Linked DNA regions of Rattus norvegicus. The protein of the gene in region 1 interacts with the protein of each later gene in a biochemical or structural test. Links are inferred from orthologs where the notes say so. Each region holds a gene or a part of one and is shown on either strand. Other genes may lie near its edges.

Evidence for each region.
Region 2: the proteins of Spi1 (region 1) and Irf1 form a complex in vitro, tested with the Homo sapiens proteins (2 studies listed by BioGRID). The link is inferred for Rattus norvegicus from reciprocal best matches to the Homo sapiens genes SPI1 and IRF1.
Region 3: the proteins of Spi1 (region 1) and Irf8 form a complex in vitro, tested with the Homo sapiens proteins (3 studies listed by BioGRID). The link is inferred for Rattus norvegicus from reciprocal best matches to the Homo sapiens genes SPI1 and IRF8.
Region 4: the proteins of Spi1 (region 1) and Mecp2 form a complex in vitro, tested with the Homo sapiens proteins (2 studies listed by BioGRID). The link is inferred for Rattus norvegicus from reciprocal best matches to the Homo sapiens genes SPI1 and MECP2.

The regions. Positions count from the first base shown.
Region 1 is NC_086021.1:97,541,254-97,548,819, reverse strand, and holds the end of Spi1 (transcription factor PU.1), read right to left. Parts: exon of another isoform or gene 6,846-7,566; intron 3,089-6,845; coding exon 2,901-3,088; intron 2,094-2,900; coding exon 1,928-2,093; intron 1,390-1,927; exon of another isoform or gene 1,306-1,389; coding exon 986-1,305; 3' UTR 616-985; downstream 1-615. UniProt on the Homo sapiens protein: Pioneer transcription factor, which controls hematopoietic cell fate by decompacting stem cell heterochromatin and allowing other transcription factors to enter otherwise inaccessible genomic sites.
Region 2 is NC_086028.1:38,414,704-38,422,953, reverse strand, and holds the start of Irf1 (interferon regulatory factor 1), read right to left. Parts: upstream 5,020-8,250; 5' UTR 4,831-5,019; intron 3,831-4,830; 5' UTR 3,826-3,830; coding exon 3,739-3,825; intron 2,396-3,738; coding exon 2,296-2,395; intron 1,594-2,295; coding exon 1,367-1,593; intron 1,281-1,366; coding exon 1,148-1,280; intron 973-1,147; coding exon 850-972; intron 286-849; coding exon 236-285; intron 1-235. UniProt on the Homo sapiens protein: Transcriptional regulator which displays a remarkable functional diversity in the regulation of cellular responses.
Region 3 is NC_086037.1:65,700,470-65,708,035, reverse strand, and holds part of Irf8 (interferon regulatory factor 8), read right to left. Parts: exon of another isoform or gene 5,737-7,566; intron 5,148-5,736; 5' UTR 5,147-5,147; coding exon 4,973-5,146; intron 1,232-4,972; coding exon 1,048-1,231; intron 1-1,047. UniProt on the Homo sapiens protein: Transcription factor that specifically binds to the upstream regulatory region of type I interferon (IFN) and IFN-inducible MHC class I genes (the interferon consensus sequence (ICS)). Can both act as a transcriptional activator or repressor.
Region 4 is NC_086039.1:156,938,836-156,946,060, forward strand, and holds the end of Mecp2 (methyl-CpG-binding protein 2), read right to left. Parts: intron 4,378-7,225; coding exon 4,027-4,377; intron 3,526-4,026; coding exon 2,424-3,525; 3' UTR 2,409-2,423; downstream 1-2,408. UniProt on the Homo sapiens protein: Chromosomal protein that binds to methylated DNA. It can bind specifically to a single methyl-CpG pair. It is not influenced by sequences flanking the methyl-CpGs.

The DNA.
Region 1 (7,566 bases):
AAAAAAAAAAAAAAAAAAAAGAATGCTTTGCGTCCATGCTAGAAAGATTGCAGCTGGTAAAGGCTAGGCTCACAATCAAATCATCCAGAATCATGCTGGGTGGCACCAGGAGCATTGGACTTCACTCCTGCAGAAGCATTTCCTCTTTCAGATAAGTGGAGCTTCTACCCTGCCTGATGTGATGGACAGTCCTAGAGAGCATCCAGCGGTGCGACATTGAAACAATTATTTAACTACTATGAGCCTCAGTTTCCCATTCTGTAAAGCTGGGAGATGTTAGGCTCGTCATCTCAAAGTCGACAGATGCTAAGTGACCAGAACACCTGTGCTTATTGCTGTGGTCATCACCACCATCACTGTGTGTCGCACTCAGAAGATTATGAGTTCAAGCTTCACTGAGACGTAAACCCTTCCTGGTGCTGAGGGCCTTTCATTATGATCCCCGATCCCTGATAACAACCCAGGACTTGTTTTACTAGAAATAAGTGCTGTGTGTCCACGGTCCCCATGTCCCTAGGGTCCAGCTTTGGAAACATGTTCACTGGATAAGTAAGAGAGACATCCGTGCACTCGGGGCGACCCGGCACACACAAACTCTTGAATGAGACTCTTGGCTGGGAGAATAGCCAGCAATAATTTTACTTTTGAGGCTAATGGGGATGGGGGGTGGGGTGGGAAGATGAAGAGCTTTTTAAAAAGCATTCAATATACAAAAAGGTGCCAACGCCAGACTCCCAAAGAAGCACCGTGGCCACTAAGCCAGGCTGACCCTCGGGTGAGGTCCGAGGCCCAGGCAGCCCTTGGGCCTGGCTAGAGTCCTGGTGGGAGGCGAAGCGGGCGGGGCCGGCCAGGCGGGGCATGGCGGGGCGAGGCCGGGTCCCCAGTCCTGCCTCGGCCCTGGGAATGTCCTCCCTGTGTCCGGGCCGGGCGACAGGTTAATGCTATGGCCGGCGGGGGCCGGGAGCCTGGCGGGCTCTGCAGGCGATCAGTGGGGCGGGAGGCGCCGCTCAGCCAGGCCCCCACGGCCCAGCACCTCGCCGCTGAACTGGTAAGTGAGCTTCTTCTTGACTTTCTTCACCTCGCCCGTCTTGCCGTAGTTGCGCAGCGCGCGCGCCATCTTCTGGTAGGTCATCTTCTTGCGGTTTCCCTTCTGGATGCCCCAGCGGTGCGCCAGCGCCTCCTTGTGCTTGGACGAGAACTGGAAGGTACCTTTGTCCTTGTCCACCCACCAGATGCTGTCCTTCATGTCTCCGCTACGCAGCAGGTCCAGCAGGAACTGGTACAAACGAATCTTCTTCTTGCTGCCTGTGGGAGATGGGCAAGCAAGTAGAGTGTGGACAGGATGCAAGGACTTTGCAGGGACCCTCCCTGCAGCTCCTCCCGGCCACGGTAAGTACAAGCACACACATGTCCACTCCCACTCATGGACATAACCCTCCATGTATACAAGTCCTCATACCTACAGGTCACACATATCCATACATATATCCACATCTGCTCTCACATATCTACATGCCTATCCAAGGGCCTTACATGCAGGCATTCACACAGAAGACCTAACACACTCACAGGCCCTCACACACTCATAAGTCCACACACACTCACAAGATGTTACACACACCCACAGGCCCCCGAACACTCATAGGCCTTCACGTATACACAGTGTGCCACTCACACAATACTGATGCACACACACAGACCTTCGTGAACTTTGAAAATATGCCTGTTTACTCACAACACAGACAGACTTAGAGACCTGTACTAAAGAAGCATCCACAAACATGCATGCACACACACACACACACACACACACACACACACCTGTATGGAACATGGCTGCTAGGCCATTTGGCCTTTGGCTAGGAATATGCAAAGCACATAAATATAAATGCAGCTAGTGTCATCTGGATCCTGGGCTGAATCCTACCTGTCTCCCCATGCAGAAGGCCTGGCCCAGGCTCCAAGCCATCAGCTTCTCCATCAGACACCTCCAGTGGAGGGCTCTGCCTCTCACCCTCCTCCTCATCTGAGCTCTGCTGGTGGGCTGGGGACAAGGGTGGATAAGGGAAGCACACCCGGGGCATGTAGGAAACCTGCAAAAGGAAGGAAGAACATGAAGTTGATAAGGGATAGCCCAGGGCTGCAGGAGGGCTCAGCTGACTTGGAGACCGAGTGCTGTAGAGAGGTCAGCAGGGCGAGGACTGAGAAGAGAAAACTAGGGGCCAGTCTGGACCAGGACTCGGGGGTGCAGGTCAATGGGTTGCTAGTTATTGAGCCTTCCCACTGTGGCCTCTGGTTTAGGGCAGGTGAAGGTGTGCTTTATCCTCGTGCATGTAAAGGGGCCATGTGGCCTGGCAGTGGACTAGAAATAGAGGGGACGTTCTTGGGAGCAATAAGTTAGGCTTGATAAGGAAGTGAGTGAGCCCTGAGAAGGGGGTAATGCACCAATGAAAGTGGAGTGGAGGTCAGTGAGGGATGGCTGAGATCAGTAGTTGGGGTTAGGGTCCCTGGAGCAAAGAACGGTCAGCAATGAAGATCAACAGGGAACCAGGGCATCAGTAGAGGCTAGCACTTAAGTGACTCAGATTCTGGGTACGTGAAAAGATAGTAAATGGGAACTGTAATCAATGGGACCCTGAGGGCCACAAACAGGAACGGGGTGGGAGAAGATGGCTGAGGGCTAGCGGATCCTATGCAGTCTGTCCATCCTCTGTGAGATAAAGGTGTGGGTTCCTAAGGTCAGGCGGGAGGTCACCACAGCCGTTGGGGTACCAGCTGCCGTTGGCTCTGTAGAGCAGGAAGCCACGTTGAGTAAGAGCCTATGTCAGCTTCCTGTGAAGGCTCCATGCCTCACCACAGGCTGGAGGCCTGGGGGACAGAGGACAGCCAGCAGCACGCACCTGGTGACTGAGGCTGGCATGGGGCGGTGCCATGGGGGTGTCAAGGACGTGCATCTGCTCCAGCTCCATGTGGCGGTAGAGCTGCTGTAGCTGCGGGGGCTGCACGCTCTGCAGCTCCGTGAAGTGGTTCTCAGGGAAGCTCTCAAACTCGCTGTGTACATGGTGTGTGGAGAAATCCCAATAGTGATCTATGGAGAAAGCCAGGGAGGAGGGCATGAGCCAAGGTGCCAGGGCAGGGAGAGGGTACAATAACAGAACAATCACTCAGCCTGGGCAGAAAGTTTACATGAATCATCTCCTGTGATGTTCACTCACTCCACTGCTGCTTTATAGAAAGGACTCTGAGGCCTACAGAGGTTTCCTAAATGTCAGTATCAAAGCCCCTAACAGTCATGCCTGGAGTGGTTATCAGCAGCCACTCCGTATCCTGCTTCCTGATTGGGCCCAGACACGGGCTTCTGAGCCCTAGCCTGAATCCTGGCTTTGCCATTTGTTGGCTGTGTGACCTCAGCACCGGCCTAGGCCTCTCTGGCCTCAGTGGACTAACCTATAAAATAGGTAGAATTGCTATTGGGAGAATACAAATAAGCTTACATTCGTAAGGGCTTCTAGACCCACAGCAGGCCTTAGAAAACTGACTGCTTTTCCTGTCTCTGTGACCTTCCCCAGGCTCCTGACTACCTAAGTCACAAGCATGGGTCCTGTCACATGGTCAGGGTATGATCGAAGTCACAGGACTGACATTTCTCACATACCAGAGTTTGTCCAAACCTATAGTGCTGCTTCTGTAAAACCAGGGGCAGCCACACCCAGGTTCCCGGGAGACTGAAGGAAGACATTTCCCCAGAAAGCCCCCGTGAGTGTCTGGTGTCTGTGGAAGGGTGAACCCAACTTCAGGAAGCAGCCTCACAGCCCTGGGAAGATCTGCGATGTGGTTTCTCCCTGCACCTTTTCTAGGAACAAAAGTTCCTGCCAATCTGAGGGACTTTGGGGCACAATTTGGGCTCCAAAAGAAAAGTATGGTATGGAGTTAGCGATGGCTCAGCTGGTAAAAGCTCTCACCACTGAGCATGATGACCTGGATTCAGCATGGTGCCGCACAGGAGAACATACACACATATAATCTATAAATGAATTTAAGAAGAGAAAGAAAGGGGTTGGGGATTTGGCTCAGTGGTAGAGCGCTTGCTTAGGAAGCCCTGAAAAAAAGAAAAAAAAAAAAAGAAGAGAAAGAAAAACATGAAAGCATGGTGTTAGGAGAAGGATTTCCTCTTGTGGCCTAAAGGAGTGTGGAAGGTGGGGGACCAGGGGAAGTCCTCCATGTACACATGTGTGCGTGTGCCTGCATGCATGTGAGCGAGTGAGCGTATGCGTGTGTGCGTGTGTGTGCATGTGTGTGCACGCGCAGGTATGTGTACCTATGATCTTCTTGCTTTTTCTATGTCTGTCACACAAACATATCCTGACTCACACATCCTCTGAGAAAGGACGTATGCGTATGCATTCCAGCTGTGCACCAATATCACAGGACTCTTTTTTAAATTGCTTTTATTTATTTGTTTATTGGGAGGGGCCAGATATGCTGTGCACGTGTGGAGGTCACATGACAACTTTCAGGAGTCTGTTCCCTCCTTCCACCTCAGGGGTCCCAAGATCAAACTCAGGTTGGGGGCAGTAAGTGCCTTCGTCTACTGAGCCGTTTCACCAATCCTTGTTTTTGAGGCAGGGTCTCATCCAGGCTGTGTTTGAACTTGTGATCATCCTGACTTAGTCTTTTGAGGTTTCAGCTTACATGCCTGGCTCTAGCTTTCTTGTCCTGCTAAGTGGTGTTGGGCTGTATGAGCCTAGACATTTTTTCCCCACTGAGTCTCTGACTCCCCTCTTAAAAGGTTGTTACCAAGACCCTGTCCATGTGCCATATTGTCTGAGCGATCTCTAGGGGACCCTGTGGCACAAAAGAAAAAGTGCACACCTTGGAGCTGCAGACAAACCCGGGATGCATTTACTGCTGCATGCTCCTAGACCTCAGTTTCCTCATCTGAGTGGGTCTAATAGTTTATACCCATTTTATTTATACACTGTGAGTGCATGAGCTATCTGATGCCTGGGGGAGTACTTAGAACAGAACATGGCACAAAAGAAGAACATTGACTCCTGTCACACTCATATTTGTCCTAAAAAGCCTGAGCTAGCACATCTGTAATTCCAATAATCAGAAAATAGAGGAAAGAACATCAAAGGCAAGCTAGGCACGCTGGCACATGTCTTTAATCCCAGAACTCCAGAAGCAGAGGCAGAGAGATCTCTGTGAGTTCAAGACCACCCTTGTCAACAGCACCCTCTTCTGGACTCCTAAAGCATACATGTGAACACACACACACACACACACACACACACACACACACAGACACACACACACACACACACACACACAGAGACAGAGACAGAGAGACACAAAGACACACAGAGACACACAGAGACAGAGACAAGTAAATAATAAAAAATATGTTTTTAAAAGTTTGAGGCTGGGTTGGGGATTTAGCTCAGTGGTAGAGCGCTTGCCTAGCAAGCGCAAGGCCCTGGGTTTGGTCCCCAGCTCCAAAAAAAAAGAACCAAAAAAAAAAAAAAAGTTTGAGGCTATCTTGGGCTAGAAAGCAGATCTTATCTTAAGACAAAAACAAAAAGCCTAGGGCTGGGGCTGGGGATTTAGCTCAGTGGTAGAGCGCTTACCTAGGAAGCGCAAGGCCCTGGGTTCGGTCCCCAGCTCCGAAAAAAAGAACCAAAAAAAAAAAAAAAAAGCCTAGGGCTGTATCACAATGGTAGAAGCACTTGTCTCTCATGCACAGGGTCCTGGTTTGAGCCCCAGAACTAAAGACAAAGGTCACTAAACCAGCAAGGACAGAATGGGGCTCTGTGATTTGGATTGCAGACACAGCTTCCTCTAGGTCACTGCCATTTATCTTTCCCTGCCTCTACCTCAGCCCACTCTGGCTCCAGAGACAGGAACTGTGAATGTTTGCGGTCCTCTAGGTGAGAGCTGAGGCCTCTGACCTAACTCTTTCTGGCCCCACCCCACCTCTGCTAGCTCTGAAGCCTAAAGTAGCATTTCCCAAAGCTGTCGTGGATGACAGTAGTGTGAGGCACTGTGGGGAAATGTGGGACCCTGCTCCCTGCTCGGTCTCCTGAAGGCGATGGCCAGGACTCCCTGAGCTACAATGGTTTCAAAACCTCACCTTTCCCCTTGATTTGGGTGCCCAGGCAATTACGTAACCAGCAGTCTGGTAGGCACACTCATCCCAAATATGGGGCTCCCAGAAAGAGCGTCCAAGAAATGATTCAGAGAGCAAAGGTCAGCCTTTCTGGCCTCCTGATCCTTATTTCTCCTGTCTTACTCTATAATCCAGGCTGGCCCAGAACCTATGGGTCATGTAGCCTAGGATAGCCTTTAGTTCATGGTGATTCTCTTGCTTCATTACAGAACCATCATGCTTGACTCTAGACAGCTCTCTTTTCTTTTCCTTTTTGTTCTGACATCGTCTTCCTTCCTTTCTTCCTCCCTCTATCTCTCTCTCCCTCTCTCCCTCCCCCTCCCTCCCCCTCCGTCCCCCCTTCCTCCTCTCTCTTCCCTCCCTCCCTCCCCTCTCTCTCCTGAGACAGGGTCTCATATAGCACAGGCTAGCCTTAGACTTGCTGTGTAGCAGAGCATGATCTTGAAGTCTTGATCCCCCTGTGTCCGCATCCCAAGTACCAGGATAACAGGCATGTGCCGTTGTACCCGGCTTGGCCAACTCTTAGTGAACGCAGCGCTTAACTGTTTTGTCCCTTTATTGTGCCACCTTGCCCTCTGCCTAGCGTCCACCCACATAGCATTAGTATAACTCTCAGTCCTTCAGAGGTTATTTGTATATCTGTGACAGTTCCATGTCCACTTTCTATATCCTGTAGGCATCCACCATGCAGAAGGCCTCAGTGCTTGACAGGATGACTGCTGCTAACTTACAACCTACCAGGCAACTCGCTAAGAATGCAGCCCACTTCTCTCTGCTCTGAGGAGACAGACGCTGGCGTGGACTCTTCCTTTTGACAGTGAAGGAAGCTGTGACTCTAACCAAGCACTTGGGAGGCAGAGGCAGGAGGATCTCTGCGGGTTTGAGGCCAGTTTGGTCTACATAGCAAGTTCCAGGGATGCATAGAGAGAGAACCTATCTCAAAATTTAAAAACAAAAGTCCAGTCCTTTGTCTACAGCGGCCCCCAGTCGTGTAGTGTCATGTCCAAGCCCACTTCTGTGTAATTCCAGGGACCTTTATTGTGCTTTAACTCTTACTATGCCATGCCAGCTCTCAGGATCTAGGCTACTGCTGTTAAGTAATGTAAGCTTTAAGTAAGACCTATGGTGACCCTGAGAGCCTCTCCTGATGCTCCCGTCCATCTGTCTGTACACACCCATCCATCCAACCATTATCCACCTATCTAGCTACCCATCACCTAACCTCCGTTTACCTATCAGTCATTTGTAACTCACTCAGCCACCCAGCCAAATAAGAGCCCATCTGTGACATGGTCTTAATAGGTTGGTCTCATGTGCTGAGATCACAAGTGGAAAACACTACAACTGCCAATCCTTTTGTCTTGATCTTTTTTTGTTCCCACCCACTCATCTGTGTT
Region 2 (8,250 bases), on another chromosome or scaffold:
CACAGTGCTCAGGGGGGTGCTGACTCAGAGCTGTCTGGGACCCTGAGGCTTGCTGGAGCATGGCCTGTTAGAGACTAGGCTTCTCACCTGCTGAGGCAACAGTTCCCCCAACACATGAAGTAGGGGCACTTGCGGAACTGCATAGGTAGCCAGATTACAGCACCTGCCCTAAGTGACTTGCAAGCTGTCCCTAGCTTGCCTTCTCTTCCCGGATGCAATATGCAAAGGGATTTACCTTCATGATGTCCTCAGGTAACTTCCCTTCCTCATCCTCATCTGTTGCAGCTGTGAGGAGGGACAAGAGGTTGGCCATGAATGTTTGCCCTGCAGCTCCCCGCCACCTCCCCAAGCCTCCCAACCAGCATCTGCCTGCCCTGGAGATTCCAGAACAGGACACTGGCTTGATGACTCACCCTCCCCAACTACAGAGCAAGGCCGCATCCCACCCCTTCACTTCCTTCCTCACCCTCAGACAACTGAGTGCGGGGAAGCCAGGAGCACTAGCCACCTTTGACCAAGATGTGGCCCAATTCCCTCCCTCTTGGCCTTGAGCACATGAAAGCTCTGAACGGTTTTGTGTCTCAGGAACTTGCTTTCTTGCTATGGGGATAGGGTAAGCAGTGCCCGGCTCCATTGGCTCAAAGGCACATAGGTTTCTTCACCTCCACCCCACAGTGGTTTCTCTGTGAAGGCCTAGCTGTTCTAGAACTCACTATGTAGACAAGGCTGGCCTCCTAATGCTGGAATTAAAGGTGGGTGCCAATGCCCAGCTTGGCACATAGATTTCTAGGCAGACTCTATTCCCCCTCAAGACGCACATGAGGCAGGCCAGTCCCTAAGAGTACAAACCTTCAGAGGTGGAGGGCATGGGCGACACCTGCAAGTTGTACAGATCAGTGGTGCTGTCTGGCATGATGTCCATCTGCATATGCCACTCAGAGAGACTGCTGCTGACGACGCACGGTGACAGAGCTGGGAGAAGGTGCAAGTCAGGACGGGCGTGCTCTCTTAGTTTGCAATACCTGAGCCCCTCCACCCTGCACGCTTCCCTGACAGAGTCCCATGATTATGCCCCACACTCTTCTCTGTTCCCACGATGCCTCTTGGGTGGAACCTAAAAGCGCCCTTGCCACAGTGGCGACCTCACCTGGGGTAATGTCCCTGTCCATGTCCAAGTCCTGACCCAGGTATCCCTGAGCTGTGTAACTGCTGTGGTCATCAGGCAGAGTAGAGCTGCTCAGTCCGTCAGATAAGGTGTCAGGGCTAGAATCTCCGCACAGCTACAGAGAGGAAACAGCTTAGGCCTGCTGTGGCACTTACCCACTGCCCCCCTACCTAAGGCTGGGCTGCTTAGAGTCAAGCTCACCTTCCTCTTGGTTTTGCTCTTAGTGTCACGGCTGGACTTGGACTTTCTCTCTTTCCTCTGGTTCTTGGTGAGGGGTGGCAGCATCCGGTACACGCGTACAGCAGAGCTGCCCTTGTTCCTGCTCTGGTCCTTCACTTCCTCGATGTCTGGTAGGGAGTTCATGGCACACCGGAAGTTTGCCTTCCAAGTCTTGGGATCTGGCTCTTTTTCCCCTGCTTTGTATCGGCCTACAGACCAGGAGAATAAATTCATCCATCAGCCGCTCTCTGGGCTGGGAGAAGAAAGGCAAGGGTACCCCACCCCAGACATCCATACAGGGGTTAACTAGCAAAAACCACTGTCAACAAGTCCTGGGGGTTCTCATATGCCCAGAGTTGGCTCAGATATCCAGCAGGGATGGGAAGGGCTCAAATAGGCTCACTTGAGTGTCTCTACCCCCCATACATGTGCTAACTGTCTTGGACCGAAACTGTCTCCCTGCTTACGTTCTCAGCAGCCAGAGACTTCTGGGACTGAGGCTTATCTGATGTTTGTGAAGTACAAGTGGGCACAGAGCTGGCAACAAGGACAGTTACTAACAGGTCTGAATAGGATCAAGTGCCTGATTCCTGAAAGAAGAAAGGGGGGCCGGCCACCAACCAGATGGGGCTTGGGTCAAGGACCTTTAGTTAGGACCTTGAGAAAGGAAGATAGAAGTGTCTGGGTACCCTGATGCACAACTGTCTTTTCTACGGGACAACTGCAGTCTAGACAGACCCCTGAAAGTACACATACTTTCTAACATTTTTGCCTTAAAAATACAGGTGCACCTCATCCCCTGGTTCCAATAATTCTGCACGCTGTGTCGGGGAACTGAGAGGCCACCCAGAGCATGGATGGTAGCCTGTATCCCCTCTGTCTCTCCTCTGCCCCTCCCCCACCCTGCACACCTGTGTGAATGGCCCAGCTCCGGAACAGACAGGCATCCTTGTTGATGTCCCAACCGTGCTTGGCAGCATGCTTCCATGGGATCTGGAAGATCATCTCTTCCTGAACAGTGCACATAGAAGACTGTGTCAGCTCCGAGTGCGGCTGAGTATGCACGGGTCCCCAAGTATGGGAAAAGGCTGACTTCCCCTTTTCACCCCGACATCTGGCCTAGATTGACCCATCCCAGCTGCCTTTAACGGGTAGGCGCTCTGCATCTTTTAGGAAGGGGGTCTAAGTTCTGACGAGCCACAGCACTAGAAGGTCAACAAAGACACCCCTGCCTTAGCTCCTGGGGTAAGCAAGAACCTAAGCAGTGCCCTCTCGGCCCTGGCCTGGCAGGTGTTGGCTGCTTGTTTATCTCTGGCTAATGAGCATTGGAACATGGAAACTTCTAGCTGCAGTCTCCTCAGGACACCAAGCACATTGGCTCCTATATAGGGTCCTGCTCATACACCCAAGGGAGCCCTGGGCCAGACCTGGATGAGGACTGCCTGTATAGTACTGGCCTATTCCTCTCCCCTTAAATAAGACAGAACTCAAAGAGAAAAGGTTTATCTATGTGTGGGGACAACAGCCACAATGAATAAGGTTTTGCTTTTATTTTTTAATTTTTATGCATGTATTATGTGTGTACGTGTTGGACGTGCGCGCAAGCCGCGGCACCCGTGTACAGGTCCAAGGACAACCTGTAGGAGTTCGTACTCTCCTTTTCCATGAGGAGATTAGGGATCAAAGTCAGGCTGTCAGGCTTGCTGGAAGGTGCCTTTATCTGCTGAGCCAGCCCTAAGATGAGGATCTTACCACCATTCTTGTTACTACTGGCTAACGTATCCATTTTCAACCAAGTTTGGGTTTCACACTTTTTACCACCTTGTAATCTATCTTAAAGTGCCTCAGTTTCCTTCTCTGAGACCCACCTCTCAGGATTACTATGACAATTAAAATGTGCAACTTGGTATCATATTTAAACGGTGCTAAGCACATAATCATTATAACCAATGCTGTCACTGCTGCTCTACTGCCAGGTGTGCCAACTGTGACTTCTTGGGTTCCTACTTAACTAGCCCTGTTCCTAACCAGCATCGACCGCTTTTCTGTCTCCTGTCTATCCAACTGGAGCTATGTGGAATGTTAGGGATACAGCATTTCTCTTGGAAGAGAAGACCCCGGGCTCTGCAGATGCTGGGAAGTCTTGGTGCTGAGACTGTGCCTGCCACTAGGAGGGTGGACTGGCCACAGCTTCAGGAAGGAAGAAGCAAGCGGCAGAAGTCAGACCTTAGCCGTTCTGGCATGCAGCACCCACTAGGAAACACATTTTCCTGCTCTCATGTTCGATAATGGAACTTGAGTCCCCCCAAGAGAACATGGGTTAAAACAGCAGAAATACCCAGGAGAACACTCACTTTATTGATCCAGCTCAGCCCTGGAATTTGGTTGGAATTAATCTGCATCTCTAGCCAGGGTCTCATTCGCATCCGAGTGATAGGCATGGTGGCTGGAGGGAGAAGACAGAAGGCCTGTGTTTAGAGTCTGTTAAACAATCCTGGGCACTGCCCTGCTCCACCCAAGGCCGATCACTCAATTACCTTCCCCGGTCCTCACCCAGGTCGTTACCCTCCCCCACTCTCCTGCCATCAACCAGGTAACAGGTCCCACAGTCATAGAGAAAGGACCCTACAGTAGAATGAAACTTGGCAGCACCATAGGCAAAGCCACCTGCCCATTATCTCGGTCTCTCCCAGCCAGCCTCAGGAAGAAACAACCAAGCAAGTCTGTCTGAATGGTTTCAGGATATATGTACAAAAAAAAGTGGGGGTGGGGGTGCGCAAAACACATAACTTTTTTTTCTCAAAATTCAATCTTTGGAGGATGGAAGGGACTGCTTTGCTTGTTGTCACCCCCAGCTCTACACCTTCCAGGCTGGGCAAGCAAGTCACCCTCCAGGGCACTTCCCCCCACCCATTCCAATCCAGACTACATCCCCTCTTGACAGCTAGTGCCCACAACATACAGCCCGGGGCACAACCCCTTCCGGCCTGGTTTCCCCTGCTGCAAAGAGAAGTGGCGCAAGCAACACCTGTGGCACCTCCTCCCGAAAGCCTTGTAGTTCACGACCGGGTCCAGCCAGTCAAGGCAGCGAGCCAACCTCTGCCACTGAACACTGCGCGTTCGAAACCTACAGCCCAGGCGTCAAGCTGCGACCGCCAAAACTGCGCGCGGGCGGACATCCGAGTCCCCGGCGCTGCTAGCGGGTGCGCGCGATGGCCGCTCTGGGCTACCGAGAGGCCCCGCAGCGGCTCCGCGCACGCAGACCGCCGAGCGCGGCCAGGGGGCGGTGCACGCCGCGGCCCGCCTCCCGGCCGCTCGCTCGCGGCGCCCTCCCCAGCCAGCGAGCCACCCCGACCCAGGGTGTCTCTGGCCCCCACTTCCTGGTGCCCCGGGCGCCTTTTGTTTCACGCCGCCCGTCCGTACCCGTGCAGCCCCGGCGGGCTTACCTTTGCTGCAGGAGCGAGTCACAGAGGGTACCCGGGAATGAGGCACGGAGTTGCGGTGTAGGTACACGATGCGTGCACGGAGCGAATGATGCCCGAGATGCTGGGTTCCTCTGGCCACCGCTGACCTCGGCTCAGCTCGGCCCGGTTCGGTTTGGCTCAGACAGTGAGAGCTCGTCCTACCTCGACGAAGGAGTAGTGCGCACTGGCGAGTCGGCGGCGCCGCGAAGAAATCTAAACACTTAGCGGGATTCCCCGGCCCGAACTCGGCCACGCCCCCGCCGGGCCGCTCGCGCGCGCCCATTGGCCCACTTCGCCTCATCATTTCGGGGAAATCAGGCTGTTGTAGAGCTAAGCGGCGAAGGGGAAGTACAAGGCGGCTGCGCTCCCCACCCCCTCGGCCCGCGCCACCGCCCCGGGGCTCCCGCGGGCCCGCCCCGTGCTCCACTCCACCCCCGGCCCCCTTGCCTGTCTTGGAAAGCCGAGGCCCTCCCTCTCGTCCTGTAGGCTCCTAGCCTGCTGGTTCATGTGGCGGTCTCCCCCTTCTCCTCCACCGGAGACACCTAACTCCCTAGGTCTCCAGAACACCTGCTTCCTTCTCCAGAAGGGACCCCCGGACCGAATCACCCTGAAAATCAGTCTGGTAATGAAGTGTCAAAAAGGGAGGGATTCGGTCCCTATACTGCTTTAGATGATAACTCTCTTAACGGCCACTTGCTGCTTTGAGAAGTTGAGGCAGAAGGCCTAACTTAGAATGCAAGGCGGTAGGAACTCCCAGCCTGGACTCTGCAGGCACAGCTGTTGAAGGACGCAGGGACTCTTAATTTCCTTAACCTCAAAATGGCAATAGCCCACTCACTAGTCTGCAGCGATGGGAGTTTCAGGGAGACACACCGCGTCCTGATGGGGAGAGATGGTGTGTGTGCTTTCCTGTGCCTCACGAGGTTCTAGCAGTGAACAAGGTGACCCTTCTCCCTTGTATCTCTGGGACTACCTGAAAGTGGAGAAAATTCAGAAGTGACTGTGGTTCCTTCTAGGACTCCTGCTTCAGCTCTACATCCTCTCTGTAGCCTTTGGGAGAAAGTTCCTCTCTGATAGTCTTGAAGGCATTTCTGAGTCCCCAAAGCCTGGCTCTGGAGAAGTTCCGGGCAGCATAGGGAAACTGTGGCCAGAATCGGGGACCCAGGTCCCAGAGGGTTGGCAAGGGCAGCGGGTTAACTAGTGCGCAAGAGTAAACCTTGCCAGTTTGTTTTCTCCTAGCGGCTGGGCTAGTGTGTACATGTTCCATGCCGAACTCTGGCTCCTCGGGCTTCTTCCTTCACTTCCCCACAGCATTTACATCAACCCTCTATGGTGTCATTCTCCTGTGTCACCTTCCTCGCCCTAGCTGTCCGTCTAGGACAGCACCCAGTTTAATGTTGCAAGCTCTAATACACACATCAGTGAATGATCTCAATGTCACTGCCTCGAAGAGGAGATTCGGGAGCTAAGAGATTCAAGATGGCAGGAGGATCTTGGAAGAAGGTATCGAGACTCTAGAATAAATAGGGAGGTGGCATTTGGAGTATTTTGAAGTGGCAAACGAGAATCGCTAGAGACCGGGTTGGGGGAGGGGACTTCTGAACGCATGACTCAGAATCATGACACCTGCTCTCCTTAGAGCAGATGGATACTTGCTCTGTTGAGATACTCTGACACAGCCAAGGAAAATTCAAAATGAGATTAGGGAGAGGAACTTTGTAACTAACTCTTGCAGCCCTCAGAGACCCTATTGAAAGCACCAGGAGACTGCAAATTGCATTAAAATACCTGTGTGGGTATACATAGTGAAAGTCAGCCTGTGTCCTGGAATGTCCGTCTGCAGCATTGGTGAGTGATGGGTACCTGTTTTCTGTCATAAGGATAAATAAAAATTTACCCACTAAATACCCTCTTGTAGGACATTTAGGTTATTTCCACTTTTTCCTCTATAGAGACAACACTGTGAGCAAAGTCTCTACACACACACACACACACACACACACACACACACACACACACACAAACACTCAATCTTCCCCTTAGCAGACACCTCGGTCCCACCCTCACTGCTAGGACTTACCAGTGAAACTGGCATTTCCATCGTTTAAATGTTCTGTGAGAGGTTTCTTTTCCCCCCACTTTGACTTTTTTTTAATTTATTTTGATTTTTTTGGAAAAGGATCTCTTGTAGCCTGGGTTAGCCTTGAACAACTCATCTTTCTGCTTCCTTTTCCCAGGTGCTGGGATTACAAGTCAATACTGACATGCTTGCCTGGTACTTGATTTTAAACGATAAAGAGTCTGCCTATGATTGGGTGCAGGGCTGTGTTTTTTGGGGGGGGGGGGTGTGTTTTGTTGTTGTTTTAGTCTTTATTGAGTTTTCAATTTTTGGGGGGTGGGGGTGGGGAGGGTCAAGGCAGGGTTTCTCTATGTAGCCTTGACTGCCATACAGAGTTTCCTCTGTAGACCAGGCTACTCTCAGACTCATAGAGAGCTATCTGTATCTACCACCCAAGTGCTGGGATTCTAGGCATGCACCACCACAAGTCAGTTTCTAAATTTTTTTTTTTTGAAACAGCTCACCATATCCCAGGCTGACCTTAAATTCTGCACTTGCTTTTAGCCTATCCAACGCTGAGCACGCTGGTCCACACCACTTCATTGAGACTATCTGGCACTGGGAGTGGGACCTAGGCTTTGTACACGCCAGGCAAGCTCTATGCTAACTGAGCTACATCCTCAGCTCAAACTCTGTCTTCCCACTCCACTTCCTGCTCCTTCGGTTGTTCTTAGAAAAGTGTGGAAAACAGAATATAGAGAGAGCTGAGTCTGAAATCTTGTGCTTTTGGTGATCCCCTGGGGCTGGAGGAAAGCTGGTGAGAAGAGATCTTGCTGCTCTTGCAGATGACCTGAGTTTGGACTCTAGCACCCACATTGGGCTTCTCGAAACCATCTGTGATTTCAGCTCCTGGGAATCTGATGCCCTTTTCTGGCCTCCATGGGCACCTACACTCACTCGTGCACACACACTTAAAAATAAATCTTTTTTTTTAAAGGAAAGAAATTATTCTCCCCAGTCCTCAATTTGCTATAAACCAGACATAATCTCTACTTGTATCCTCCTAATTGTAAACAAAAAATATCAGAGGCCACTATTTTGGACTGAGCTCCCGTACTAGGCTCCAACAGACCGAACCAAAATGGAGTCACTCACGCCAAGTGCTACATTATTAATTGAAATTTTAAGGGAGCACACAGATCTTAAACCAAACCAAGGTTTCCTAAACACAGGAGTTTAAGTCCCCATGAGTTAACGTGAGGAAGTCCCCTCTGCACCTGAACCACCCTAGCGTTAACCAATCAGCTATTTTCCTGATGTTTGGCTTCCTTCTTTCTGTCCTC
Region 3 (7,566 bases), on another chromosome or scaffold:
CAAACAGCCCCCACCCCACCCCCAAGGCTCCACACTCCCAGGAACCTGTGTGATCTCCCCATTGCTTCATCCAGAGGGAGAGATTCACCTAGAGGCCATTGTTGGACAAGCAGAGGGCAAGAGCCTCACCCACTCACCCACCCACCCACCCACCCACCCACCCACCTGGAGAGGCTAGCAAATCACTCAAGTTCACAGTACAGTATACCAGGGGAAATACTATGCAAATGCTACTTTCCTCTGCTCTCCTTCACCCAGACACTGCCGGTGATGGGGCTCCACCCATGCTATAAACAAGTCAGGGCCATCTACCAGGGCAAGCCTGGCTGATCCTGGGGGAACAGGGCTCCGAAAGAAACTTCCCTATTGCTTCAAATCACTGCGAAGGCAAACAAGCCAGGAAGTGTGGCTGTCTGACCTTCCAGAAACAGTACAGAACTGGCCAGGCCCTGGGAGCCATGAAACTCTAATGGGGAAGGTCAATGTGCCTTCATTCCTTTACAGATGCTTCACCGCTGGAGAGACAACTTGGGGATGATGTTATCCCTGCCAGCAGTGACACACTGAGGCCATCGGTGAAGTCCCCACTTCTGACCTGCCTAACCGGGAGACCTTTTCACTGGGCCTTACTGCCCATCCCTGCCTTGCCCACTCCTCCCCAGCCTCCCCTGCAAAATGCTAGACAGCAAAAGGGAATTCTGCATGGCAGACTTCAGCAGAGCCTCGGGACGCATTCGGGCAAGTTTACGCTGAGCTCCAGGGGCTCTGCCAGCTTCCTGCTCTGACCCAGAGTCCACCACCCTTCCCCACCCCCACTCGGCCACTCCCTCTGCAGGAAGCCGCCACTTGACAGCACATGGCGTGCGTGCGTGCCTGTGAGGTCAGCAGACCAGCTCTCGGTGTCTGCTTACACAAGAGAGAACAAGTTTGGTTTGCTAAAAGCGGGCGCCCAAACCCTGTGGGCGGCATGGCCCTGTGGAGACCGAAGGTTTCAGGAGCAGAGCAGGGAAGGTTCTAGAAGGCTTCGTGGTCCCAACAGATAGTTACATTTTTGCTCTTCCTCGGGGACGATTCGGTAAACTTTGTATGGCTCGGAAATGTCCAGCTGGGACCGGTCGGTCACCTCTTCAAAATCCGGGCTCTTGTTCAGAGCGCAGCGTAACCGTGTCTTCCACGTGGCTGGCTCAGCTTTGTCTCCCTCTTTAAACTTCCCTTTAAAAACTGCCCAGGCCTGAAGAGAGAGAGAGAGAGAGAAATGCAGTAAACACAGAAGGACACAAACCACAGAGTTCAACCCCAAGGCAGGCTGCACACCACCCCGCTCCCCAGAGTCGTTCCTGGCCATCAACCCTTGTCCAAGGTCAGGACTTCACGAAGACCACTGCATCTGAACCAGCAAGAGGGTCCCCCAAAACCACGCAGCAAGGCTGGAATTTGAACCCACACCCTAGGATGCATCTTCAGCAAAGTCTTCTGGCTTGACGGGCCTGGGGGGCCTCAGGTTACGAAGCCTGAAGAGGAAGGTGTAGATGACTTCACTAGCACAGTCAAAGACTTTCTGCCTTTTCAAATAATGCCCAGAGCATGAAAAGGAACACACGTATCCACCACTCTCTCCTTTTAATAGAAAAATTTGCTTTTGCATTTTTGCATGACTCTAGCCATTTAAGACTCAGTGAATTGTTCTCCCTTTTTTTTTTTTTAAATTCCATTTTTTCCAACCTGTCCAAAGCTTATGATCAAAGCAAAGACCAGGAATTAAAAGCAGGGGCCTACTTAATACAGTGCTTGCCATGTAAGCATGAAGGCCCGGGTTCAAATCCCCAGTACCCACAGAAAAAGATGGGTATGTGTGCCTTTGACCCCAGCACTGGGGACAGGGCAACAGAATCCCCAGAGTTTGTTGGCAGCCAGCCTAGCCTAATCCCTGAGCTCCAGGTTCAGTGAGATCTTTTGTCTAACGAACACAGGTGGACAGTGATAGACAGAGACGCCCAGCACGGACCTCTGGCCTCCAAATGCGCACACACACGCACATGTACACCTACAGGGGACACTTATGTTCTAGGGCAATGCTCTCTGCACTGTTGATGCCAAATCTTGTATTTCTGCTCAGCAAGAAGCTAGAGGAACATTCCAACCCCCCGGGCCTGAGTGGTCACTTCCTCTCTGACATAGTTGCAAACCCACTTTTAGAAATATTTTTTTTTAAGTAGACAGTTTCCAATTCTGGCCCTTGTTGTAAATGGCGTTGCTGGCCACACACTGACTTGTGGGGCTGTCGTGAACTCAAAAGCAGACAAGAACAGCTGGAGTGACTGGAACAGTGACTTTGGGGCTGGGCTTACTGGAAGTTTCTGCCTCTTCACCACGGACATAGTGAAGACCATCCTACACATGAAGGCATTCTCCAGCAGTACCTCTCCCTGGATATAGCAACCTGGAACATCTGCCACCCCCTCCCCCAAAAATCATTGGGTGATTTAGGCACCTGAGGAAGCATAGATACCGCGGCCGTTTCCCAGTCGGCAGGCAAGGGATAGATCTGTGGTGTCTCACAGCATTCCCCAGTTTATCCCTTCATTCTGGGCTCATGGTTCCTCTTCGAGGGAAGCCTGGAGGCCTCGGGTATCAAATCAGACTCCACAGTCAGGGAGCATCTGAGACAGCACTGGGTACCAGCATGGGACTACCCTGAGCTTAGAGATCTGCTCATCTCTAAAGGGCTATCTTAGCTGCACGGTCTCCAGGGCTGAAGCTATAGAATGGGTGGTCCTGGGACCCACAGAGGCACCTACTGCTTGAAGTTTTCCTCTGCTGACATCGTGTGGTACTGTGCCTTAAAAATTAACACTGGGCAGTGTAGCTCAGTTGATAAGGGATACTTGCTCAGCGTGCATGAACCTTGGGTTCAATCCTCAGCACCGTAGAAACCAAGTATGGTGGTCCACACCAGTAATCTGAACACTCGGGAGGTAGAGGCAGGGGGATCAGAAGGTCACGGTCTTCCTCAGCTACGTGGCAAGTTTGAGATCAGCCCGGACTACGTAAGTTCTCAACTCAAAATAAAGTAAAATTAACCCCTGTCCCATCCTTCAAGGCCCTCTGTACATAGAGTAAGTGATAAATAATTAAGCCTATTATTTATAGGAATCTCAGCCCTTGCCTGATTGACATAAGCTCAGTATCTTTTTCATTCTCTTTCTGTGGTCTACACAGGAAGCAGGCCCCAAGACGCTGCCCGTAGACAGTGGCAGGGCTCTCTGGTGTAATCCCTTTCCCTGGTAGAAAAGCAAGCGTATACCTTTTCCTCAGCACCTACATTTTTTGTTTGTTTGTTTGTTTTTTCGGAGCTGGGGACCGAACCCAGGGCCTTGAGCTTGCTAGGCAAGCGCTCTACCACTGAGCTAAATCCCCAACCCCCAGCACCTACATTTTTAAAGAATTTAACTGGCTGAGAAAAGTGGGTTTCTTACTTAAGCAGACAGCCCCCAAGATGGTTCTATCTGCCCAAGGCCATATCATATGGTTCCTTCAACAGCCAAGTTGTGCCTGACAGATGATAGGGAGGTACCCGCCCCACACAGGACAACTCAGAGAAGACCCTCATCACCCCGTGTCTCCTGCCACTTGCCCACCTCCCGATCAAGTGGGCACCCGTTGATCTCCTGCCATTCCTGCTGAGATTGATGTCTCATTTCAGATTGCCACACAGAGCGACTGCGTAACCAACGGAAACATTGGGAATCTTGCGCATTCTCCTCGGTGCTGTTGAAACGGCTCGCTGGCCATGAAGAACGTTGCATAAGATGCATAAATCTGGGGCTTTATTTCAGGGCTCCTGGTTTGCTGAAGCAGGGAACTGGATGAAGAGAGATCTGCTGTCTCCTGCAACAACTGAGGCCCCTGGTCCAGAATTCTGACCTTTTTTTTTCTGGAAGATTCGTGATGCTCTTTCAACCAAGCACACTGTGCCTTCCTGAGCTTACTGTCAATGCTAATCACGATATGCCTGGTTCAGAGTTGTCACTGGAAAGGGGATACTGTGCCCCTGGAGTACAACATCCATGACAGTCTTGGCAGTCAGAGTCTCTACAGGTCCTGCTCCCCGCTTAAAAACAGTCTCGAGTCAGTTTCTTGTCCTCAGCAGCTCAGTGGGTCTCATGGTCCTCATAACCTTCCAACCCCAGCCCCAGCTCCCAACAACATACAGAACTAAGGGTAGCGGTTTACAACCTGGGCTCTGGGTCAAACCACTAAGGCTACAGCTGCAGTTCACAAAGTAGAAGTGTGGGCTGACCATGACCTAGGGCTCTGAAACTCCCAGAGAGAAATGTAGACGCCCAAGGCCTTAGAAACACTCATAGGTGACTAGAGCAACCCTCATGGGACCTTAAGGAGAAATCACCCTAGTTCTCCATACTGTAAAGAGTCAAGACCTTGGACCAACCGATCCCAAATGCAGGTTCTATCGCACAGGAGCTCGGAGACCCTGGAGAAGCCACTTCTCTCACGGCCCTACGGAACGCAAACAGGACCAGCACCTGCCACCCAGGGGGAGGATGCTGGCTCTCAGCTTAGCTATGTGGCTTGCCCTCAGTGATAGCATTCAGTCCCCTCAGAGGGAGACATTAAGCAAAAGCTCAGGATGCCCCTTGAACCTGACCCGGAAGCAACTGTAGAAGCCTGTCACCCTCATAGCTGGTCCCACCGTGCCAAGAAGGACTCAGGCTTTGAAAGAGCAAAGCCTGGAGCCTTCCTCAGTACGCCGCCGGGCGGAGCATGGCTGTACACCAAGGGTGCAGAGAGGGACAGGAAAGTCACTCTCCACCCCGTGAGGGAACGTGCCAGAACCAGGCACCCCTCCTTGTTTCTCTTGAGATCCTGGGCTATTTAGTCATAGGACATTCCTAAATACCTCCAGAGCCAGAGGGAAACCAGAGACGGGGCGTGGGGGCGCGGGGGACTGTACCTTGAAGATTGAAGCGTCCACTTCCTGGTTGTAGTCTTGCTTGCCTGCGTGTTTCCAGGGGATGCGGAACAGGGTCTTCTCCTCACTCTCCCAGATCAGCCCCGGGTACATGCTGCTGTCAATCTGTTCGATCAGCCACTGTCGCAGCCGCCGCCCGCCATTCCGGTCACACATCCTCGGAAAGAAAACAGACTTCGGTATAACGTCTCTGTGAGTCAGAGCAATCCGGGACCCGACAGACAGGAAGATCAGAGGTGCACACAAAGGCGCCGGCTTGGGAGACATCTGGGCCAGCGACATGAGCAATTAGCAGTGCCTGGTAGTCCTAAACCCAAAGGAAAACCGAAAGGCTGTTCACAGATGTGCCCCACCCACGGCTCTGGATGTGGGTCCAGCTCTTCCCTGACCTCCTGTCCTAGACATTGAGGGCACCTGCTGGGAAGAAGCCCCTCTCCCATGATTCAGTGCTTTCCATGAACTGCCCACCGCTCTGAGAACCACCCTGACGACTGATTCCCATGGGGGGACTGGTGTTCCTCACAGACTTTGACCCCAGCACCACCTGAGAAAGAGAGCACCCTCGAGGCTACTTGCAAACTGCCTTTGCTAGCTAGGGTGGTAACAGGAAGATCTTAAAGAGTAATAGGGTTCTGTTCCCGCTGGCGTGGGGTTTGAACTGGAGTCGTGTTCCAGCTCGGTGACCTTGCAGCCATTTCACCTTAGAGTGTTAAGAATTTGGTCTGGGAGCTGTGAGTGTAAAGTACCTGCGTCAGAGCCTGTGTCCTAAAGGACTCCTCCAGCCATACAGGTAGTTCCTCAGGAACTTTTATGATCAACCCTCGGTGAGAACAAAGGAACGGTACAAAGCCAGCTCAGGGATTCCATCCCCAGACACCCTAACGGCACACTTAGACATTCTCACCGGCAGTATCCTGAAACTTTGCCTTCAGCTTGGGGAAAGAGAGCATTTGTGCATACAGACTTGCAGCCAGCATTTACTAGAACAGCCTGGAAATCCCCAAGGCAGTTGGACAGACGCCCACCCTGGAAACCAGAACATAGTACTTCTAGCCTTCCAACTAAAATGACCTCTTGGGGCAGGGGAAGAAAGAAGTAATCATCGGTGAGGAGATAAGATGTTCCCCCCCAACCCCCCCCCCCCGGAGAACAGTCACTTCCAGAGCCAGCATGTCCCACAAAGCAACATAGCAGTCAGGATAAGAGGTTCACGGGTCAGGAACTCCAGGCTGCGCCAGGTGGCCCTGGGCCCAGGAAAGCCGGCAGCAGCCTGAGAAGAGGGAGGTGAGGTCTCTCCAGGGCGGGCCCTAGCTTTTCTCTCCAGCGGCCCCAGCTGCCACCAGTGGGCTTGGAAGGGGGTGAGGGCTGGAAGCAGAGTCAGACTCCAGTCCATTTTGGGTTCTATTTTTGAGACAGAATCTCAGATCCTGACCTGACCTCCAATTCCCTAGGTTGATGAAGATGGTCTTGAACTCCTGATCCTTCTGCCTCCATTTCCCCCTTGCTGGGGACTGGACCCAGGGTTTGTGCCTGCTAGGCATGCGCTCTGCTGCCTGAGGCACCGCTCAAACAAAACAGCAAGATGGCTGGGAAACCCTGACCTCAGCAAGGGGCTTCGCCTTGGGAAGCCATTGACTCCTCAGTCTAAGGACCCTCCCAAGAAAAGCAGGAAAGGGGTTGGGGATTTGGCTCAGTGGTAGAGCGCTTTAGGAAGCGCAAGGCCCTGGGTTCTGTCCCCAGCTCTGGGGGAAAAAAAAGAAAGAAAGAAAAAGAAAAGCAGGAAAGAGGGGCTAGCTCAAGAAACTGAGAATTCCAAGACCACTGTATTCATAAATGACAGGTCAGAAAGGAATACCTAGGGAAAGAAATAAAATGCTACCAGGTACCCCCCCCCAAACCAAGTAGGGTGCTGGCTTCTACACCTTGTTCTGGAGAGGAGAGCGGGGGCTCTCCTGGCTTGATAGTGTCTTGTGTGGCCTCTAAGGATGACTGTGGGATGGGAGCTGGGTGGGGTGTCCAGAGTATCTGAGGCTATGTCAATTGAAAGCCTCCATTTAACCCCTGGAGATGGATTTGTGAATCGTACCCCATGGTTCCTGAACCTCCTGAAATCTAAAAAGAGTTCACTGGCGTGGCTGGAGTTTCTTCCAGAACAGAAACAACACCTTCTTGTCAGGGATCCTCGGGGGCCCGACACCCCAGAACTGTAAAGGGCAGCTGTCTTAGTGGGGGACAGAGAAAAGGGGTCATTGAAATGAAAGGTGAATCACAGACCATGAAAGCTGGGAAGCTAAAATCCTTTAACCCAGTCTCTTCTACACACAGAAGGGAAGAGATGGGGAGGGGGGGTTCAGCTATCCCCTGGGCACAGCATAAACTGTCAGCATTGTCCCAAGGACAGCACACGCAGAAGTGATGCTTTCATTCATCCTGCAGACTGAAAGCCTCAGCGGGGTCCAGCTCTCGGCACCCAGACAATCCCCTGTTTGCCTTGGCAGCCACCTCTCAGATCCTAAGCAGGCAGAGCCTGACTCTCTTACAACTGTAGACAATTAATGGTTTATAAACACGTTCAC
Region 4 (7,225 bases), on another chromosome or scaffold:
TTTTATAGCACAAGGAAATGGATACAAATACACTAGAAAGTCCAGCTATGATTCGGCAAACAGAATGGGGCAAGATCTCTCACTTAGTTCTAAAACCATTCCATAAGAGACAAACATGGTTGTATCTTAAGCTATCAATTCGAACTGTCAACTACGGTTCCTGATCACTAAAGACTGGCCAGGAAGTGCTAGACGAATTCTATGATGTTTCACTCTTCCATGATTACACCGCAGGAAGGAAGCTGGGGAACGTTAGTGAAAATACACAAGACAACACACACTTGACAGTTCATGGCAGCAGCTCACATGGGACGTGCCTGTGGGTGTTTCTGGAAGCGTAAGACTGCTGTCTCATTTGCTACTTTGATAAGGTACTTCTCAGTCAGACAGATTTCGATAGATATGAGACATCTCTGTAAACACAGAAAAGGATATACCAATATGATGAAGATATGCAGCTAGATAAGGACTTCCTGAACAGAGGTTAAATCCCAAATGAAAACTGACCAATTAAAATCCCACAGCAAAGTCAAGTTTATAAAATTCACCACTATACTTATGGAGCAGAGGTTGAAATATGGGATGTGCTGACACTGCCCAGTCCCCAGTGAGCAAGAGGTTAAGAATCCCACTAGAAAAAAACTTGTGTGTGTGTGTGTGTGTGTCTGTGTGTGTGTGCGCGCACGCGCGCACGTCAGAAGAAGGGCCAGGGGCCCTGGTGTCATTCCATGCTCAGGTCTCCATCTGTCCTGACAGGTACCCTGCCCACACTAAGCTTGGCATTAGACTTCTGAGTAGGGTTGAGGGTAATGGGCCTGGAGCCCCTGTTGGGCCATGCAATGATTCTGGCAGGCCATATGGGCCTCTGTATCTCCTTGAGCTACCACATGTGACCCAGATGCTCTAGTCCACTTTTCTAAAGTAGAAGGTAAAAAGACTTATTGTTTAGGGTCTGAAAGCCTTTTGACTTTTTTCTTAGCAAGAGCAAGAGCTTCCTACCTTCTTGTTCTTCACAGAGGCTAGGGAGGGCTCAGAAGAGCCCATCGCTTGCTCAAGGTTAAACATGATACCTGGCACTGGCACTGGGAAGTTAAAGGGCAGAGAGAATCCTAGGACTGCAGCTGACTGCTGTCAGGTAAGCATGTGGTTGGGCACTGCAGCTGCCTGGAACAGAAACAACTAGAAGCTAGGGGAAGAAATGAAAACATGAAATGGAAGGAAGAAATGGAAGGACAAAAGAGAAAGCAATCAGGAAGTCCTTATAAAATTGCAGCAAACACTTAGAGTTTCGGAGCTTCGTGGGAACCCTATGTGCTGAGCCCACTTTAAAACAAGCCCAGGTATATACATATACAGGTAGTTCTGAACACTGCCATTGTCTGGTGGCTTGTGGGACAGTGTCACCATTTCAAGCCAGTTTGCTTTCAGAGCATCTATTTGTTTTGAAGTGGGAACATGAAGACTCAATAGTGCAAATAATTCTAAGCTGTCCCTAAAGGAGAACTGGAAAGCAATTGGAAGAATATTTTTCTTTCTTCCCCCTTAACTACTAGTCAGAGACTGCTCTCTTGCTCTGTGGCACTAGGCCTGGCTTGACTCCACCTAGCCTGTACTTTGTCCTGCTGCCTCCATGGCACTTCTTTAGCATGAACTTCTAGGGGAGCATGCCTTGTGAACAGATGATGACACTTTACTCTGGGCCATCCTCTTCTGTTGCTCAGGCCAGTTTATAAGCCAACAGTTTAAGACTCATCTCTAGCCATGCCAGAGCTGGATCAGACAAATGCCACTTTCATTTTTTGCAAAATGTCCTTGTCAGTTTTGGATTGGGTTGGTGTGGAGCCAGACTTGTGCTACCACAGTTGGAATTACTGGGGCGCAATCACTTGCCAACTCTATAGTCTTCTCCCAAGAGTCCTATATAGTTTCTCCTGCGTCACACCTCCCAGTCCCTCAGATTGGGAGTTGGGGTGGTGTAAAAGTCAGGGAAGCTATGGACAGGGCATCAGTGGCACCAAAAATGGGAGTGTCCTCTCAATTGCCCTCTCTAATGAGCACACAGGGGATAGGGGTGGGGTGAGGAGGGAGGGGGTTGTTGTTGTGGGGAGTGCCTGGTCAACAGCTTGTCTGGTCAGTAGTATCTGCAGCAAGCCTTGTTGAAGGAGCCTAGTTTAGAAAAGTGCAAAGCTACTTCTGGCCCTGGTTAGGTCTTCAACCTGACTGTGCTTGTCGGTAAGAAAAACATCCCAATGCTCCAACTACTCCCACCCCGAAGCCACGAAACTCTAAGTTTACTGAAAGAAAAAAAAATATTTTTTATTTCAGTTAATCGGGAAGCTTTGTCAGAGCCCTACCCATAAGGAGAAGAGACAACAGCTGCCTTTATTCTTGTTGGTTTGCTTTGCAATCCGCTCTATGTAAAGTCAGCTAACTCTCTCGGTCACGGGCGTCCGGCTGTCCACAGGCTCCTCTCTGTTTGGCCTCGGCATGGAGGATGAAACAATGTCTTTGCGCTCTCCCTCCCCTCGGTGTTTGTACTTTTCTGCAACTGTGGTGGTGGTGGTGGTGGTGGTGGTGGCGGCGGCAGCAACCATGGGCTGAGTCTTAGCTGGCTCCTTGGGGCAGCCATCGCTTTCCAGTGAGCCTGCTCGGGGCATCTTCTCCTCTTTGCAGATGCTGCTGCTCAAGTCCTGAGGCTCAGGGGGGCTGATGGGGTCCTCAGAGCTCTGAGGCTCAGGTGGGGGTGGAGGTGGAAGCAATGGCATGGGGGCCTTTGGGGACTCTGCGTGATGGTGGTGATGATGGTGCTCCTTCTTAGGTGGTGAGGAGGCACTGCTGCTGCGCCCCTTGGGGCTGCTCTCCTTGCTTTTACGCCCAGGGCTCTTGCATGTCTTCAGTCCCTTTCCACTCTTCTCACCAAGTGTAGACACCAGCAGGGGCTTCACCACCTCCTTGACCTCAATGCTGACGGTTTCCCGGGTCTTGCGCTTCTTGATGGGGAGCACAGTCTCCTGCACAGACCGTATAGAAGATTCCTTCACAGCTTTCTTTTTGGCCTCTGCAGCAGCAGCTGCCACCACACTCCCAGGCTTTCTACCCCGTTTCTTAGGAATGGCCTGGGGGTCAGCTTCAGCTTTTCGCTTTCTGCCAGGGCGTTTGATCACCATGACCTGCGCAGATGTGGTAGCCCCACCTCCCTCACCCTTACCCCCAGGTGATGCTTGGAAAGGCATCTTGACGAGAAGTTTCCCAGGGCTCTTCTCCAGGACCCTTTTCACTTGAACACCTTCTGATGCTGCTGCCTTTGGTCTCCCAGTGCCGCTCCCTTTCGGGCGTCCCCGACCCCTGCCAGTTCCTGGAGCTTTGGGAGATTTGGGCTTCTTAGGTGGTTTCTGTTCTCTCCTGGAAGGGCTCCCTCTCCCAGTTACAGTGAAGTCAAAATCATTAGGGTCCAAGGAGGTGTCTCCCACCTTTTCAAAATATGCAATCAATTCTACTTTAGAGCGAAAGGCTTTTCCCTGGGGACTGTAGAGACAAACAGAGAGACAAACAATAGTCAGAAGCTTTTTGATAACGTAGAGACTGACTTAGAAAATGTAGTACTGACAAGCTTTCTTCTAAGACATTGTAAATGAACAACAAACTGAAGTGCTAAAATTATTGGAGGGCACACCTAGGTCAGATGCATAGTAGAAATCATGTTACAGCTTGCTCAGAAGCCAATGCAGCTGAATCTGAAAACAGAGGACCTGCCCACTTTCAAGCACACTTCTCTGTACTTCCTGCTTCTCCACAATACTGAAACCAAACGGGTGAGGCCTGGTACTTGGTGAACATTGGGCTGGGTCCAATCTGTTGGTTGGTACCCAGACTTAACCCAACACCAACACATTTCTGCATTTTAACCAAGGCATGATGTCCAGCCTCTTTGGGAAGCCATTTCAGTGCAATAAAGCTTTTGCATCCTAGCCTTCCCACCCACCTGGCCTTCCCTGTTCTGTAGACACAAGACTTGCTCTTACTTACTTGATCAAATATACATCATACTTTCCAGCAGAGCGACCAGACTTCCTCTGTTTAAGCTTTCGCGTCCAACCTTCAGGCAAGGTGGGGTCATCATACATAGGTCCCCGGTCACGAATGATGGAACGTCGCTGTTTGGGAGAAGCAGAGGCTTCTGGTACTGCTGGGGCAGAGCCTGAGCTTTCTGATGTCTCTGCTTTGCCTGCCTCTGCTGGCTCTGCAGAATGGTGGGCTGAAGGCTGTAGTGGTTCATGTTTGCCCTCTTTGTCTTCCTTCTTGTCTTTCTTCACCTTCTTAAACTTCAGGGGTTTCTCTTTGAGGCCCTGGAGATCCTGGTCTTCTGACTTTTCCTCCCTGAAGTATTAAACAAATATGTAAGTATTACAGAGAGCATAGCTGTCTGCACAGTAGTGAGTATAGGTGAGCTTGAATGCCACACATGAGACCCCTGGCTGCTGCATACTCTCTCTGATTTTGGTAACTTCCCTAGGACAATGTATCTTTGGGCCAAGCTGGGGCCCAAAGATTTCTTTAGCAGCTTTAGGTAGTTGGTGATGTTGGTCAAACACATTCAACTTTTATCATACTTCTCCAAACCCTAGTTCTAATGCTCTTAAAGTGGCACATGTTTTTTTTTTTTTTTAATTTTTTTTCTGGAATATAAGCACTGTAGGGCTGGCTTCTTAACATACCACTGTCAGAAGTCAGTTTGTAAGTTGCACCTAATGGCCCCTTGGGCTTGCCACATGACAAGACAAAACATGTAAGATAAATAAAATAATACAGCAAAGCCAGAAAAGGGCATTGGATCTCTTGGGACTGAAGTTACAGATGGTTGTGATCCACCCTGTGATTGCTGGGAAATGAATCCAGGTCTGCTGGAAGAGTAGCCAGAGCTCTTAACTTCTGAACCATTGCTTCAGCCCCCTGACTTTCCAATTCAAAGCAAGGACTGCAGCAAGAGATTTCAGCAGTGTAAGCCCCAGTTTCCTCATCTCAACATTAGATAATATAATCTCATCCCTGATGCATTCTTTTTGTGAGAATCATGGACAAAAGGCCCCAAGGTACTGTATAACTATTGCTAACTCAGTCAATTAGCAACTGCTGCCTAGGGTTCCAGTATGAGAAAAAAGGAATCTTGGGTCACACGGGTCTTTACCACAAAATACCGCCCCCCCCCCAAAAAAAAAAACAACTCACCAACCACCAAAAACCAAACCAAACCAAACCAAGGGGAACCAAAACAACAAAACAAAAACAAAACCCTATCCTTAGCAGAAACCGAAGAAAGAGAAAGATGTAATAGAACAGTGTATGGAAAATGATAACTACCAATTCAAGTATAGGACACCTGCCTATTCTTACTTGTGGACAGAAATAGCCTCCTTCTACAGGTTTTGGTTCTTCTTTGTGGGGTCCCTTCATGTACTTTAGGGTTCAAAGCCTGTCTCTGATGCTTTAATGACCACTGTAGGGAAACACAGCGAGTCTTTCTCTGACTAGAATCTGGCCACACTGCACCTCTGAGCTACAGGCCAAACCAAGAAAGGTTTGGAAAGAAGTAGCAGCTGCCTATTGGCCTAAAACTAAGAGAATTAGGGCTGTGATGTGCGCTTGGAAACCTGCAGTCAGCTTACAGTTCAATCTTCAGACTGGCTTATTCAGACTCTCTCAGTGACAGAAGAAAAGAGGGGGGTACTCACCAGCAAAGCTGGCAAGACAAAAGCCAACAGGTACTCATCACATGCATGTAACTTCACAGGCCCCCTTTGAATATCAGTGCTGCTTCCCTGATTATGAACTTGAGTTTGAGAAAACTACTAGACTAAGAGGGCCGGCAGGCTTCTTTGGAATTTTCACTTATATTGTGAAATATGTGAACCACCATCAAAAACAAACTACATGAGCAAAGGAACACTTTCTAGAAATCTAACAAAAAGGGCATATGATTTTCACTAAAATTTTATTTTTACTAGCTAAGAATGCAGGCCTCTCAGAGCCTCATCACCAAGGAGACTAGGAGAATCAACTATGGGACACCTACATACTAGAAGGTTGTGTAGCTAGATGAGTATCATGATCTTTTTTGATGTAAAGAAAACAAAACAAACTGCAGACATATTTCCCATACGGATCAGGTGTATAGGATTGTAGGTTAGCTTAGAAACTAACGGAAGTCTAGAGTAAGTGAAAACAAGGTAAGAACTCTTGCTGAACACTTCTCAGAATATATATTTTTCTAATGAATCATAAGTCTTTACATAACTAAGAAGTAACAAAGCTATAATATTATAATACATGCAAACAAGAACAAAGAAGTTTAACTATATTATCAAATATAATGTACTACACAAAAAGACTAACTTTTGACCACAATACTTTTGTAGTGGGATATATTCCAAAGCCAACAGTAATATTCCAGGGGCAGTATATACATTAAACCAGCTCAAAGGTGAAATGGGTGACTCTGATTCTGGGACATCCTGTAGTGCCGGTAAAGCTAGGGATGGGAGTACAAAAACAGTGGGGGGTGGGGGAGTCAAGAAAAACTTTTAGCAATAGCCTAGGCATGGCCAAGGATGTAGGCAGTAATGAATTTGGGATCTGTACAGTGGGGGAATCAACAAGGCAGAACACTAAGTTAAGAACTGTGGGCAGACAGTAGTGCCAATGGATTAGAAAGGGAAGTCTGAGTGAGGAACAGGCACTCAATAGCATTTCTGCAGCTACTAGCTATAAATGTGGGGGCCCCAGTTGTACTTTATTGAGTTATATCCTTTCAAATTGAAAACATTTGTAGAAAATAACGACTATATTGTGATTTTTAATTCTGCATACCGAAAGGCACACAGATGTTTGGGATTCTATTTTCTCATTGCTAGTTAAGGGGGAAGGAAAAGGGAGGAAATTAGAAATACTGAGATTGGTCTATCCATGAATCACTCTGTAGCTAAGACCAGCCCCCTGACCTCAATTGTCCTCAGTGCTGGGATTACAAACAAGTTCTCTATTTAAAAACAAGTACCAGAGCTGGAGATATGGCTCAGTGGTTAAGAGCACCTACTGCCCTTGCAGAGGAACCAGGTTTGGTTCTCAGCTTTCCAGCATCCTCATGACCACTCAGAACCACTTGTAATTCCAGTTCTGGGGGATCTGACACTCTTTGTTGCTGGCCTTTGTCAGCTCCTGCATGCATGTG